3 linked regions of the Rattus norvegicus genome follow. The protein of the gene in region 1 interacts with the protein of each later gene in a biochemical or structural test. Links are inferred from orthologs where the notes say so. Each region holds a gene or a part of one and is shown on either strand. Other genes may lie near its edges.

Region 1 (3,500 bases):
CCTGTATAGGGCAGAGGGCAGTTGCATTTGTACCCAGCGACATCATCAATGCAGGTGCCCTGGTTCAGGCAGGGGTTGGAAGCACATTCGTTAATGTTGGTCTGGCAGTTAGGGCCTGTAGGAAGAAGAGCAAGAGTGGGTGGGCCTGAGCCTCTGCCCTCTGCCCTTACTCGGGAGAGCCAGGGGCCCAGCCTGAGAAATGCCAGCAGCTCCTGTTCATCAGGTAGACCAAGAAAGAAGACACCGTGGGGTTGTATTGCCACCAGGGAGGACCCACTCTGCTGTGTCACCCACCACACTCACCACTGAAGCCTTCTCGGCAGGTGCATACGTAGCCACTGGTCATGTCTTTGCAGGTGCCACCGTTGACACAAGGGTTGGACTCACACTCATTGTTGTTGATGTCACAGTTTGTCCCACTCCACCCAGGGGCACAGTCACATTTGTATCTGTAGAGAGGCCTCTGTTTGTAGCCTGGGCTACAGATACAGTTCCTAGACTACAGATCCAGTCTGAGGGCAAGGACACATCATCTACTGGACTGGAGGTACCCGCCTTTCCCAAGACCATGCAAGGGTTCTAGACTGGGACAGTGTGACCCAGTACTGACCCTCTGTACCAAACTTTTTAACAGTTTGAATAAGGACTTTAGCAGTCTCCCCATATACACACTGACAGAGGGCTGCTGTCACAGGTATCAGACGACCGTTTCAACAGCCAGGGTGCTTAAGGTCTATATCCTGAGCTGATGTTAGCCAATAAGGACACAACCCAGGGATGCTGGGAAGACTCTTGGGGCTGACCTCACACTACTGGTCTCACAGGAACACCCATTCACCCAGTCCGTATCTGCCCCAGGCTTCTAGCTGGTTCCCCCCAGGCCAGTCTGCCATACCCATTGAGGCCATCCCGGCAAGCTCCATGGATGCAGGGGTTACTGTTGCACTCGTTGACCTCAGACAGGCACGTAGGGTCGTGGTAGCCCTCGGGGCAGCGGCAAGTGAAGCCGGCGATGCCATCCTCACAGGTGCCCCCGTTGTGGCAGGGGCTGCCCGCACATTCGTCAATGTTGACATTACACATGCTCCCTGTGGGGGAGAAGGGGCTGATACCAGGCCTGCCACCCAGAGACCAACCCTCCTGGAGCTAAACCTGGCTGGGCCTCAGTTTCCCCGTGTGCCAATCTATGGAACTTTAAGCCACGGGAAAGTGCCTTATGCAGCAATGAGTTACGTGACTGTGGTGCCAGTAGCTTCAGGGTCTCCTGTTGGTCCAGTCTGGCCACAAACTCACTGCATAGCTGAGAACAGCCTGCGTTTCTGATCCTCTTGCTTTCAATGTCAGAGTACTAACATATGCCGCTACGCTTGGCTTATGTGGCAGGAGAACTGAACATGTATGTGGCAGGGGTTTTGCACGCTAGGCCAACACCTTACCAACCGAGTCATTCTTCAGCCAAACTTTACTACACCCTTGAGACCTCTGGGACACTGTCCCTCTGTTGACAAGGTTCCCAGGGCTCAGAGAAATTAAGGTTCTTATCAGATATAAGGGTGTCAGAGGCAGAACGTGTGTCCGAAAGCCTGGCCTCGGAGCTCTAGCCACCCCACTTCAGCCATTAAGTCTGATGTGGCCAGGGCTGACACTGACAGGGGACAGAAGGCATGTGGAGGCCACCCAGTCCTTATGATACCCGCCCTGTGGGCAGACCAAGATCTGGGAGGCGGATACCTAACTTGTGTCCTCCAGCCCTTGGACCCCTGCTAACCCCACAGTCCCTCCCAGACCTCATTCATCTAAAGGCTCTAGGGTTGACCTTGACCTCCAACTTCAGCCGCTCACCTGTGTAGCCTGGCTCGCACGCACACTCGTAGCCATCGATCTTGTCCAGACACGTGCCAGAGTCACAGGGGTTGCTCGCACAGTCATCCAGATTGATCTCACAGTTGGGTCCTAGGGGCAGCGTGACATGTGGTCAGCCTCCAAGCCTAGCCTCACCCTTTTCCACCCACTGCCAGCTCTGGCCAGTCACCTGTGGTCCCCTTGAGGCATAAGCAGAGGTAGTAGTTGTCACGGTCCTGGCAGGTGCCGCCATGGCGGCACGGCTGGCTGTGACACTCATTAATGTTGGTCTCACAGTGATGGCCTGTGTAGCCTGGCTGGCAGAGGCAGGTAAAGGTGGCCACACCATCCTTGCACAAACCATAGTGACAGGGGTCAGGGTCACACTCGTCAATGTCCACCTCGCAGTGGGTCCCCGTGTAACCTAGATGGCAGGAAAGGTGGACATTGGTGAGCTTCAGGGCCAGTTACTCCCTCAACACTCAGTTGGCTACACCTAGGGAAAATACTGAGCAGGCCCAGCCCAGGGTCACTGGATGTGGGAGTGTCACATACCCCGGGATGTTCTCATCACTCCTGTCTGGAGTCAAAGCAGAGTTAAGTTCTTGACGCTCAGATTATATAGCCCCAAACGAAGGGCTCCCCAGTTTCCTGTCCCTTCTTCCCACTATCTAAGCCCGAGTCCCCTCCCCCAGACCCTGCACACTGCCTCTTGTACCTTCTGTGCACACGCAGGTGTAGGTGTTGGGCCCATCCAGGCACTTGGCGCCGTTCTTGCATGGTGTGCTGGCGCACTCATCCACGTCATACTGGCACAGGTGCCCGCTGAAGCCTGTGGCCAGGGAAGAGGAGATGGTTATGTCTGACAGTATCCTAGCCCTTCGGTTGCTACCCACAGACCCTATAGTTAGCTGAATGACTGCTCACATGGGCTCCCTAGAGGGTACTTTGTCACCAGTGGCCACTGACCTCCAGGCTTCAACCTGCCCTGGTACCCTTACCCCTCTGATCAGTTCCTGGTTCAGCACTGCTCAGTGGCTGCCTCCCTGGCCCAACAGAGGGGCCCTTTTCCTAAATAGCGTCTGGTTGCTATGGTTACAGCTGCACTAGGTTGTGAATGGGACTCCCCTTGCTCGACCAAGTCTAAGATGGCTGATTTACATCTCACAAGGCCCAAAGTCTGGTCCAGCTCTGGGGTAGGCAAGAGACACCTTCCCGGGGCTTTTATGTTCCCTCCTCAGTTCCTCCAAGTCCTTCCCAGATATACAGGTCAGATCCCCACACTGTGTCTCACTCGCAGGTGGACCCCCTTATCTCGGGAGCACCGCAGCTCCTGTTTATCTTTCCCCCCTTTAGTAAAGGGTTTCTGGTGCCAGGCTCTCTATAATGCCCACTCTCATGTGGGCCTTTCTTTACCTTTGAGGAAAGCCTGAAAACCTCCTAGTCAACTCACAAGGCAAATTCCTCCCTCAAAGGTGTCTGGGAAGAGAGCATGAGGACACAGGTCCTGTGGTAAGTAGGTGGCCTCACCTTTGGGACACTGACACAGGAACTCGTTGATCTTGTCCACGCAGCGGCCATTGTGTAGACAGGGGCTGCTGGCACACTCGTCCGTGTTGATCTCACAGTATACACCCTCATAACCTGGGGATGGGAGA
Region 2 (4,226 bases), on another chromosome or scaffold:
AAACAGGACGCTCACTTGGAAGGCATGCGTTGGCCTCTTGTGATGGCTTTCGGGGCGTACTGCAGACTGGGTGAGCCCCAGTTGTGGGATGGGTGTGCTTTGGTTCATTCCAGCCACATCACATGGAAACGAGGCCGGAGTCCCCTCTGGCTGTCAACTGGTTTCCAGAAAGCACAGAAGTTTCCAGAAATCTTGAAGGGAGGCTGGGCAGGGCTTCGGTAGAACACAGCCCCTTCACGAAAGGAAGGAGCTTGGGAGTAGGTTTCATCCCACTGTGAGCCCTGCCCTGAGGAGCCCCTCACACAGCAGAGGCCTCTTCATCTTTGCCAGGAGCTGAGGCGGCATCAGGACACTCAGGTAAGACTTGGCCCTCACCTGAGCCGCAAGATCAGAGGAAGCAACACTCAGGGACAGGCCCTCCCCAGCTCAGCAACAGCCATACTGACCCAGCACGGCCAGAGTCCCGGCTGAGCTGAGGCTGACCCAGCAAGAGACACAGCTTTAAACCAACTTTGTGATCTTTATTGACGGGTGACAACTTTATACTCCGAGGAAGCACTACACTGTGTATAACAGGGACATGGCATCAGAGGTGTGGCAGACTCCACAGCAGACACCGGCAAGTGTCCGTCCCTCTGCCCACTGTTCATGTGCACACAGAACATGAATGCGATTTGAAATCTGTTCACGGTGATAAAGTTACAATCCGCCAGCCACCTCTGCAGCCTGACGTCTACCCACATGTCTGACCCGCGATGTCTATGTCAGCAGTTTCCCTCTTGCAATCATTTAAAATTCGTTTCCTGTTAGGAACCAGCAACATATTTTTTTTTATATTTATCTCCTTTTGAAGTAAGAGCTATCTCATCTCTGATAACTGGCTCATTTTTGTCATTTATCAAAAACTAAAGGGTAAAGGAAGAAAGTGTGATGAATTAAAAAAATTATTTTTTTAAGGAAAGATAAAATTCATTTTCACAAATTTACAAGAGCTGCTGGTGCGGGACTTATTCCACTACGCATCAAACTGGGACCCAGTGCGAGCCACCTCCCCAGGGGCTCAGGAACCAGCGGCTCTTCAGAAGCGGCGGCTCGTGTGTGTCTCCTCACTCAAGCCACAGTCCAGTCTGAAGTCAGAGTCAGCATGAGCTGCGCTGTGCAGACCCCCCAGACATCTTCCATCCAAGCCCCCTGGCGCAGAGGGAGAGCCTCTCTCCACAGAGCCACTGGAGAGGCGGGCGGTTAGTGAGCTGGGAGATATGGGAGACAGCGTCGGACACACGGGCAGAGCTACAGCAGGTCCACACGGCGGTAATACAGGAGGTAGGCGGTGCGGTCAGCACTTGGTCTCACCACCTGGTACTGGTTGATAACCTTGACCGTCTGGTCATCAATTCGCAGCCAGCCGTTAAGCCCAATCTGGAAGACGTCCGTGGTGTAGTGGCCACCTGTAGCACTGTTGCCATGATGGTAGACCACTGGAAGACAGCACCAAGCGGGCAGCCCGTGAGAACAGCCCCTCACCCCACTGCCTCAGACCCCCACCCTCACACCCTCCTCACCGACCCCCACCCAACTGTTCCAAAGGGAGGTGGCACCACAGGAGCCTGCAGGCCACTGACTCAGGCGGATGCTCACAGACAGCAACACTCTCTCCTGTCAGCCACGACTCAAGGCAAAAACGGGCACAAATGCTTTACAGACAACTGAGCTCTCCTTGGACCCTGTCTGTGGTGTGTGTTCCAGGGCATTTTTGCCTGGTACCTTAGACTCTCTGTTCACTGTGGTTTTGAGGGAGAAGAGGGCAAACACACTCACCTGCGAACAGCCTATAGGTTCTGTGGCATTTAAAGTTTTTATTTTTGACGCCTGGAGAAAGCAGTTCTGAAAAACAAAATAACAACACTTCAACAAAGTCTTCACAGCACAGCAGCACTGGTTGGTGACAGGGCCCTTAAAAACACCCATCCCACTTCGAGGGTCAGCAGGCATGGCCCAGAGCGGTGTGAGAAGTGAACCCGAAGGTTCTCACAGCCACAGGAGACAGGAACCGGGGTATGCAGGGCTGGGACAGGAGGAACAGACCCAAGAGGATCTCTCTCCAAGATCAGAGCAAGACACCGCTGTCTTTTTCTTTCCCAGATCTCTGTGTTCTGTAGACTGCCTGGCCTTGCCACACTCCGGCGTACAATCTAAGATGTTCACCCACATGGTGGAGAGAGAGAACCTACTCCTACAAGGTGCCATCTGATTTCCACATGAAGGCCAGGACATAATTAAAGGTGAGCTCTGACCTCCTAAGCCAACAACACACATGTGCTGTGGCATGCACGCCTACCTGTACATACAAATCACACATACCGTAAAACAAACCTTAAAACAAACAAAAAAACAGGTTTCCTTCAACCTGTCTCTTAGGGCTCTTCAGAACAGGCTGTCAGAGCTAGTGAGACAGACGCCTCAGTGGCTGGAGCACTGGCTGCCCCTGCAGGCACCAGGCAGGTATGTGGTCTCCCTCTGACACGACACAGAAGCCACAGAAAGCAGTAGCCAGCACATTTCTGCACAGGCACCATGTCGCTGTGGGGGAGGGCATCCCCAGCCAGCCCCGGCTGCTCTCCTGCTTTTCTGATCCAGTCACATTACATCTCCTTCCTGTATTTGCACCAGGCAAATCGCTGTAATAAGAGTGCATGGCCAGCCTGGTCTATATAGAGAGCTCCAGGCCAGCCAGCACTTCATACCGAGACCCTGCCTTAAAACAAAAACAAAATATAATGGCTCAGTGGTTAGGAGCACTGGCTACTCTTTCAGAGAACTTGGGTTTGAGCCCAGCACCAACACAGTAGCTGGCAGCCACCTGTAAGGCCAACGCCCCTTTGGGCCTCTGTAGTCCGCCAAGCACACAGTGCACACTCCATACCGGCAAACCATCCCTAAGTCAAAGTTAAAACTAAGGAAGCCACCTTGGCGAGCATTCAGTATAGAGACCCACAAATGTCAATAAAGCTAAAACAAAGAGTCCTAACTGGTGACCAGGCGGTGACAGGCTGTGGGGACTGCAGCAGGCACAGGCCGGCATTACCTCTGCTGATCTCCAAGTCCACAGGGTACTCGATGTTCTTGACGAGCTTCTGGCATCCGCCCGTCTTCTCATAGACGAAGCGCTTCAGGTGGAGCACAAGGACAGGGGGAAGCTTCTCCAGAGTCACTCTACGGCTGACTTCAACCTGGGACAAAGTAGCCTGGGTCACAGGCCCGCCTGGCTGCAGCAGCCCCCCTGTGGGCTTCCACAGCAACTCCCAACAGCTCCCCAGCCATGCCTGTACCCCCATGGACCCCTGTAAGGAGCCCATCTGTGGCCTCCAAGCGAAGTCTTTGGCTATGTGGCGACACAATGGCCGGAAAGACAAGCTGAGTGCAGAACGGCTGGAGCTGGCATGACCAGCCTGCGTCCCTTTAGTGCTTTCAAGGCTCCTGAATCTTTTAAAACATCCTAAAGCAGCACCAACAATGAAACTTAATGCAGTGTAAGTCGGAAGATTGCGGACGGCCCTGCTGCAGGATGAGTCTCTCTGCCCACCTGCAACTGTTCCCGGCTACGCCTGGTGTTAGGGTTTCTTTTGGTTTTCTCCACCAAATGTATCTTCAGTTGCTCACTCCTTACTTGACCCTGTAGCCTCTGCACTCCACTGTTCACAGCTTTCCAGTACCACGAACTCTTCAGAAAAGCGCCACCCTAACTACCCAGCATTCATCCTGCCTTGTGACCTCAATGCCAGTCTGCAAAAGACCTGAGAGACAAGACGGCCTCCCCGCAGAGCAGAAGAGCAGGCCACTGAGAGCCAGACAACAGCCTCTCCACAACAACAAGGCCAGCTCCTAACTGTCCAGGACGGGACACTCAAGACTTTATCCTCGTCATCACACTGAATAGTCGCCTGACTGTCCCTAATGATCAATGCTTTTGCAACACAGACGTGCCTGGAACTCCCTTCACATCCTAACTCTTCTGCTGGAGGTAGGCTGGCTGCAGACACCAGGTGGACTGAGGAAAGGAGACACGGAGCAGGGTCAAGGGCAGAAGGGAGATAATTCCCTCAGTCACGAGAGCCAGAGCTGCAGAGCAGCTGGGGGGCCATATGGTTCAACCGCTCCTTCCTGACAACCCGGGGCTTCTCAGTAAAGCAACTGCGTGAGAGGCGGACTCAAGTCAGCGTCCAAGC
Region 3 (3,500 bases), on another chromosome or scaffold:
TTTAGCACCAGATTCTCTTTGGTCTGTATTTCTATGACAATCTGATACCTGCCCTCAACCTGTCTTTGTTTTAATTTACTTATATCCATAGGCAAGTTAAGAAATGACATTAAGTACTATTGCATTCCCTCAAAGAAGAAAAACATTGTCAGCTTGTTCAAAAATATTCTTGTTTGCTACTCAAACAAACAAACAAACAAACCAAAAAACAGGCTCTGAAGGTTCACACTTTTAGTCCCAGCACTCAGGAAGCAGAGGCAGGCAGATCTCTGAGTTTGAGGCCAGTCTGCTGTATACAATGAGTTCCAAGACAGCCAGGGCTACACAGAGAAACCATGTCTCAAAAACAGAAAACTAACCTTAATCGTCCCTGTAATTTTTAAATCTTCCTATGCCCTCAGAATGTTCCCAGCATTTAATGTCAAATTAAAAGCTTGGCTAGACTGGGGCTGGAGCAGTGGCCCAGACGTTACTTAGTTCAGTTCCCAGCACCCACATGACTGTTTACAACTGGCTCTAACCCTCATCCCATGAGATCTGATTCCCTTTTCTGGTGTGCAGATATACATGCAGACAAAATGTCCTTTTACATAAAATACATAAATAATAATTTTTTTAAACCTAAGCTAAATCATAGTTAATCTTGAGGGAATAAATAATTATTTTTTAAGGATTGTTCATAAAATGATTATGGTTTCTTGAATTTTTAACTGAAAATTTCAGGTGACAAAGGGTCACACTGGTTCTCAGAGGATAGCAGAATGGTTCAGAAGTGACTGAGACTTATCTGTCCCCTTCTGTACCTGCAGGTCTCCTGTGGTGTAACTCCTTATGTATCTATTATTGTCAGATTCTTAGTTTTCTCAGCTGAGTTTTTAAATGGATGAAGACTCTAGTTGGGAGTTCTTTGCCTTTTCTGGAATGTGTTACCTCGGTTTTACTTTTATCTGTCTCTTCTCCCTTAGTTTATCTTACGATGTTGTGTTGTATTTCTGAGGTAATAGCTTAGCTTTTTTTCCCCTGAATGTCTCTATTTGGCTTGAGTATCTGGCTTTGGGTATCAGTCCTGAAGCTGGATTTCCTCTTTCCTTGTGACTTTTTAGAAGATGGAAATCAGTATTTTCTGAGTTTCGTTTTCTTTTTAAAATTATGTATGTATTGTCTCCTCCCTCCCCCTTATCTTTTAAAAGACGGGAAAGAAAGCAGTGAAGGCCGTTCTGTGGGTATCAGCAGATGGACTCAGAGTTGTGGATGAAAAAACTAAGGTAAGAGTTTTGTGAGTTTAAATGTTGCGTCTAATGTGGTTTATCTCTAGTGATAAAATGTCATTAAGCTGTTGTAGTAGCTCTATAATATCCTGCCACTGTGTCCAAAGTACAGCCTTTTGAGAGACTGTTTTAATGTTCAGGAAACTAGTTTAGTAACTCATTTACTCTATGAACATAATCTCTCGGCATTTTGTTCCACATGATGTAGCTTATTGTATGTGCCAAGCATTAATGCTTAATGCTAAGATATGAGTTCTATTTTCTATGTTTACTTTTTTCAGATCCTTGAATGTAAAAGGTGATCTATCTTTTACTGTAATTTTTTTAGATGACAGGCCACATGTTAAATTTGCCCTTGTTCCTTGAGGAAATGTGACTTAGAGAGGGATAATTGGGTCAGCTGCTGAAGGCCCAAGTCGGGTAAACGTTCAGCATGAGAGGTGAGGTTTGCTGAGGGTCCAACAGTATTCTAGGTAGCACTCTGTTTTTGAGAGAAAGGGACCCTAAACGACCAAGATATGTATGGTCAAGTAATCATTAGTACATTTTCTTAAGACCTAAAGACATGGGCTGGAGAGATGGCACAGGGGTTAAGAGCACTGACTGCTCTTCCAGAGGTCCTGAGTTCAATTCCCAGCAACCACATGGTGGCTCACAACCATCTGTAATGGGATCTGATGCCCTCTTCTGGGGTGTCTGAAGACAGCTACAGTGTACTCATAATAAATAAAATAGGAAGGAAGGAAAGAAGGAAGGAAGGAAGGAAGATAGGTAAGTCTTGCTGAATTTGATCTAACAATTCCCCCGCGTCAACCTCGCAAGTGTTGGGATAATAGACTTGTGCCACCATACCAAGCAATTTGTCATTCTCGTGGCCATGTATTTGTTTGCCCTCTGGTGGCTACTTTTTTAGCACCTACATTTATGAATTTTGTTCTTTCCATGTTGACTGATAAGTTACTGGTGGTCAGGCTAGTTGAATTGGGGGAGGGGAGGTAGACAGGATCTCTCTGTAGCCCAGTCTCGTCTTGAGTTCAGTATGCAGCAGCCCAGTTTGGCCTTGAATTTGCTCAGTTCTCTTGCCCTAGCCTCCCAAGTTCTGGGATTGCAGACATGAGCCACCACACGTACCATAATTGACAGTTTATCACTATTGGTTCCATTGCCCCACCTTTATATTTTACCTATTACCAGGGATAATACAGTGTTGGAATTGTGACAAGATCATGCATGATCTGCACAAATTAATAGAGCTGTAGAAATCTGAGCGTCAGGTCTCTGACTTTCTTTGAGCAATGGCCTGTGTCGTGGCGATGCATCGGTCTCTATTGTACAAAGAAATAGAAGCTGATACATTCTCACAGAGAAAGCAGAGCCAGCCCCAGAATGACCCAGAAGAATAGGCAGAATTTATAAAGCAGGCGTTAAAATCGCACTGAGGCATATGAAGGAAGAAATGCTGCTGCTGAATGAAAAGCTGGATAATCTCGGAATTTCTGAAAAAAAGAAGCAAATAAAAATGTTAGGGCCAGGCATGGTGGTACGCGCCATTAATCCAACCTGGCAGGCAGGCAGAGCCAGAAGGATGTCTGAGTTCTGGGACGGCTATGGCTACATGGTGAGACACAAACTCCAAAAACAAAGAGAAGGAAGGAAGGAAAAGAAAGAAATCAGAGAGAGAGAAAGCTGTACATCTGTAAAATAGAATACTTGAACTAAAAGATTTCTACTGGACGGACATACAGTTAGTTGAAAGGGGGAAAGTATAGAATAATATGTATTATTGTTCTAATCTGTGTAATATATAGTGGGAACTCACTATTGTATGTTTTTGCTGTATTTGCAAATAACCCAAGAGGATTTAAACATTTATTTATGTACGCATACTGTCAAGTTGAATATGGCAGCTACTGTGGAAGCGCTCCAAGCCGGAACCACCTGACACATACACTCTTCAGAGCATAGCAATAAAGCTAGGGAGCCGTTTGAGCCTCCTCATCAAGTCGCACCCTATGTGGGGATTCTGCATTGCAAAGGAGCATCCTGTGCTGCTGCTGAGAAGCCCGGATAACTCAGAAGCCTTCTCTTGCTCTTTGCTTCCATTTTCTAGGACCTCATAGTTGACCAGACAATAGAAAAAGTTTCTTTCTGCGCCCCCGATAGGAACTTTGACAGAGCCTTTTCTTACATATGTCGAGATGGCACCACTCGGCGATGGATCTGTCATTGCTT

The links.
Region 2: the proteins of Notch1 (region 1) and Usp10 form a complex in vitro, tested with the Homo sapiens proteins (2 studies listed by BioGRID, with this or other methods). The link is inferred for Rattus norvegicus from reciprocal best matches to the Homo sapiens genes NOTCH1 and USP10.
Region 3: the proteins of Notch1 (region 1) and Numb form a complex in vitro, tested with the Homo sapiens proteins (2 studies listed by BioGRID). The link is inferred for Rattus norvegicus from reciprocal best matches to the Homo sapiens genes NOTCH1 and NUMB.

Annotation. Positions count from the first base shown.
Region 1 is NC_086021.1:29,694,114-29,697,613, forward strand, and holds part of Notch1 (neurogenic locus notch homolog protein 1 precursor), read right to left. Parts: intron 3,487-3,500; coding exon 3,373-3,486; intron 2,675-3,372; coding exon 2,561-2,674; intron 2,267-2,560; coding exon 2,033-2,266; intron 1,954-2,032; coding exon 1,843-1,953; intron 1,089-1,842; coding exon 896-1,088; intron 450-895; coding exon 304-449; intron 116-303; coding exon 2-115; intron 1-1. UniProt on the Homo sapiens protein: Functions as a receptor for membrane-bound ligands Jagged-1 (JAG1), Jagged-2 (JAG2) and Delta-1 (DLL1) to regulate cell-fate determination.
Region 2 is NC_086037.1:64,919,797-64,924,022, reverse strand, and holds the end of Usp10 (ubiquitin carboxyl-terminal hydrolase 10), read right to left. Parts: intron 3,231-4,226; coding exon 3,086-3,230; intron 1,885-3,085; coding exon 1,819-1,884; intron 1,479-1,818; coding exon 1,291-1,478; 3' UTR 501-1,290; downstream 1-500. UniProt on the Homo sapiens protein: Hydrolase that can remove conjugated ubiquitin from target proteins such as p53/TP53, RPS2/us5, RPS3/us3, RPS10/eS10, BECN1, SNX3 and CFTR.
Region 3 is NC_086024.1:109,176,464-109,179,963, reverse strand, and holds part of Numb (protein numb homolog), read left to right. Parts: intron 1-1,190; coding exon 1,191-1,265; intron 1,266-3,378; coding exon 3,379-3,500. UniProt on the Homo sapiens protein: Regulates clathrin-mediated receptor endocytosis. Plays a role in the process of neurogenesis.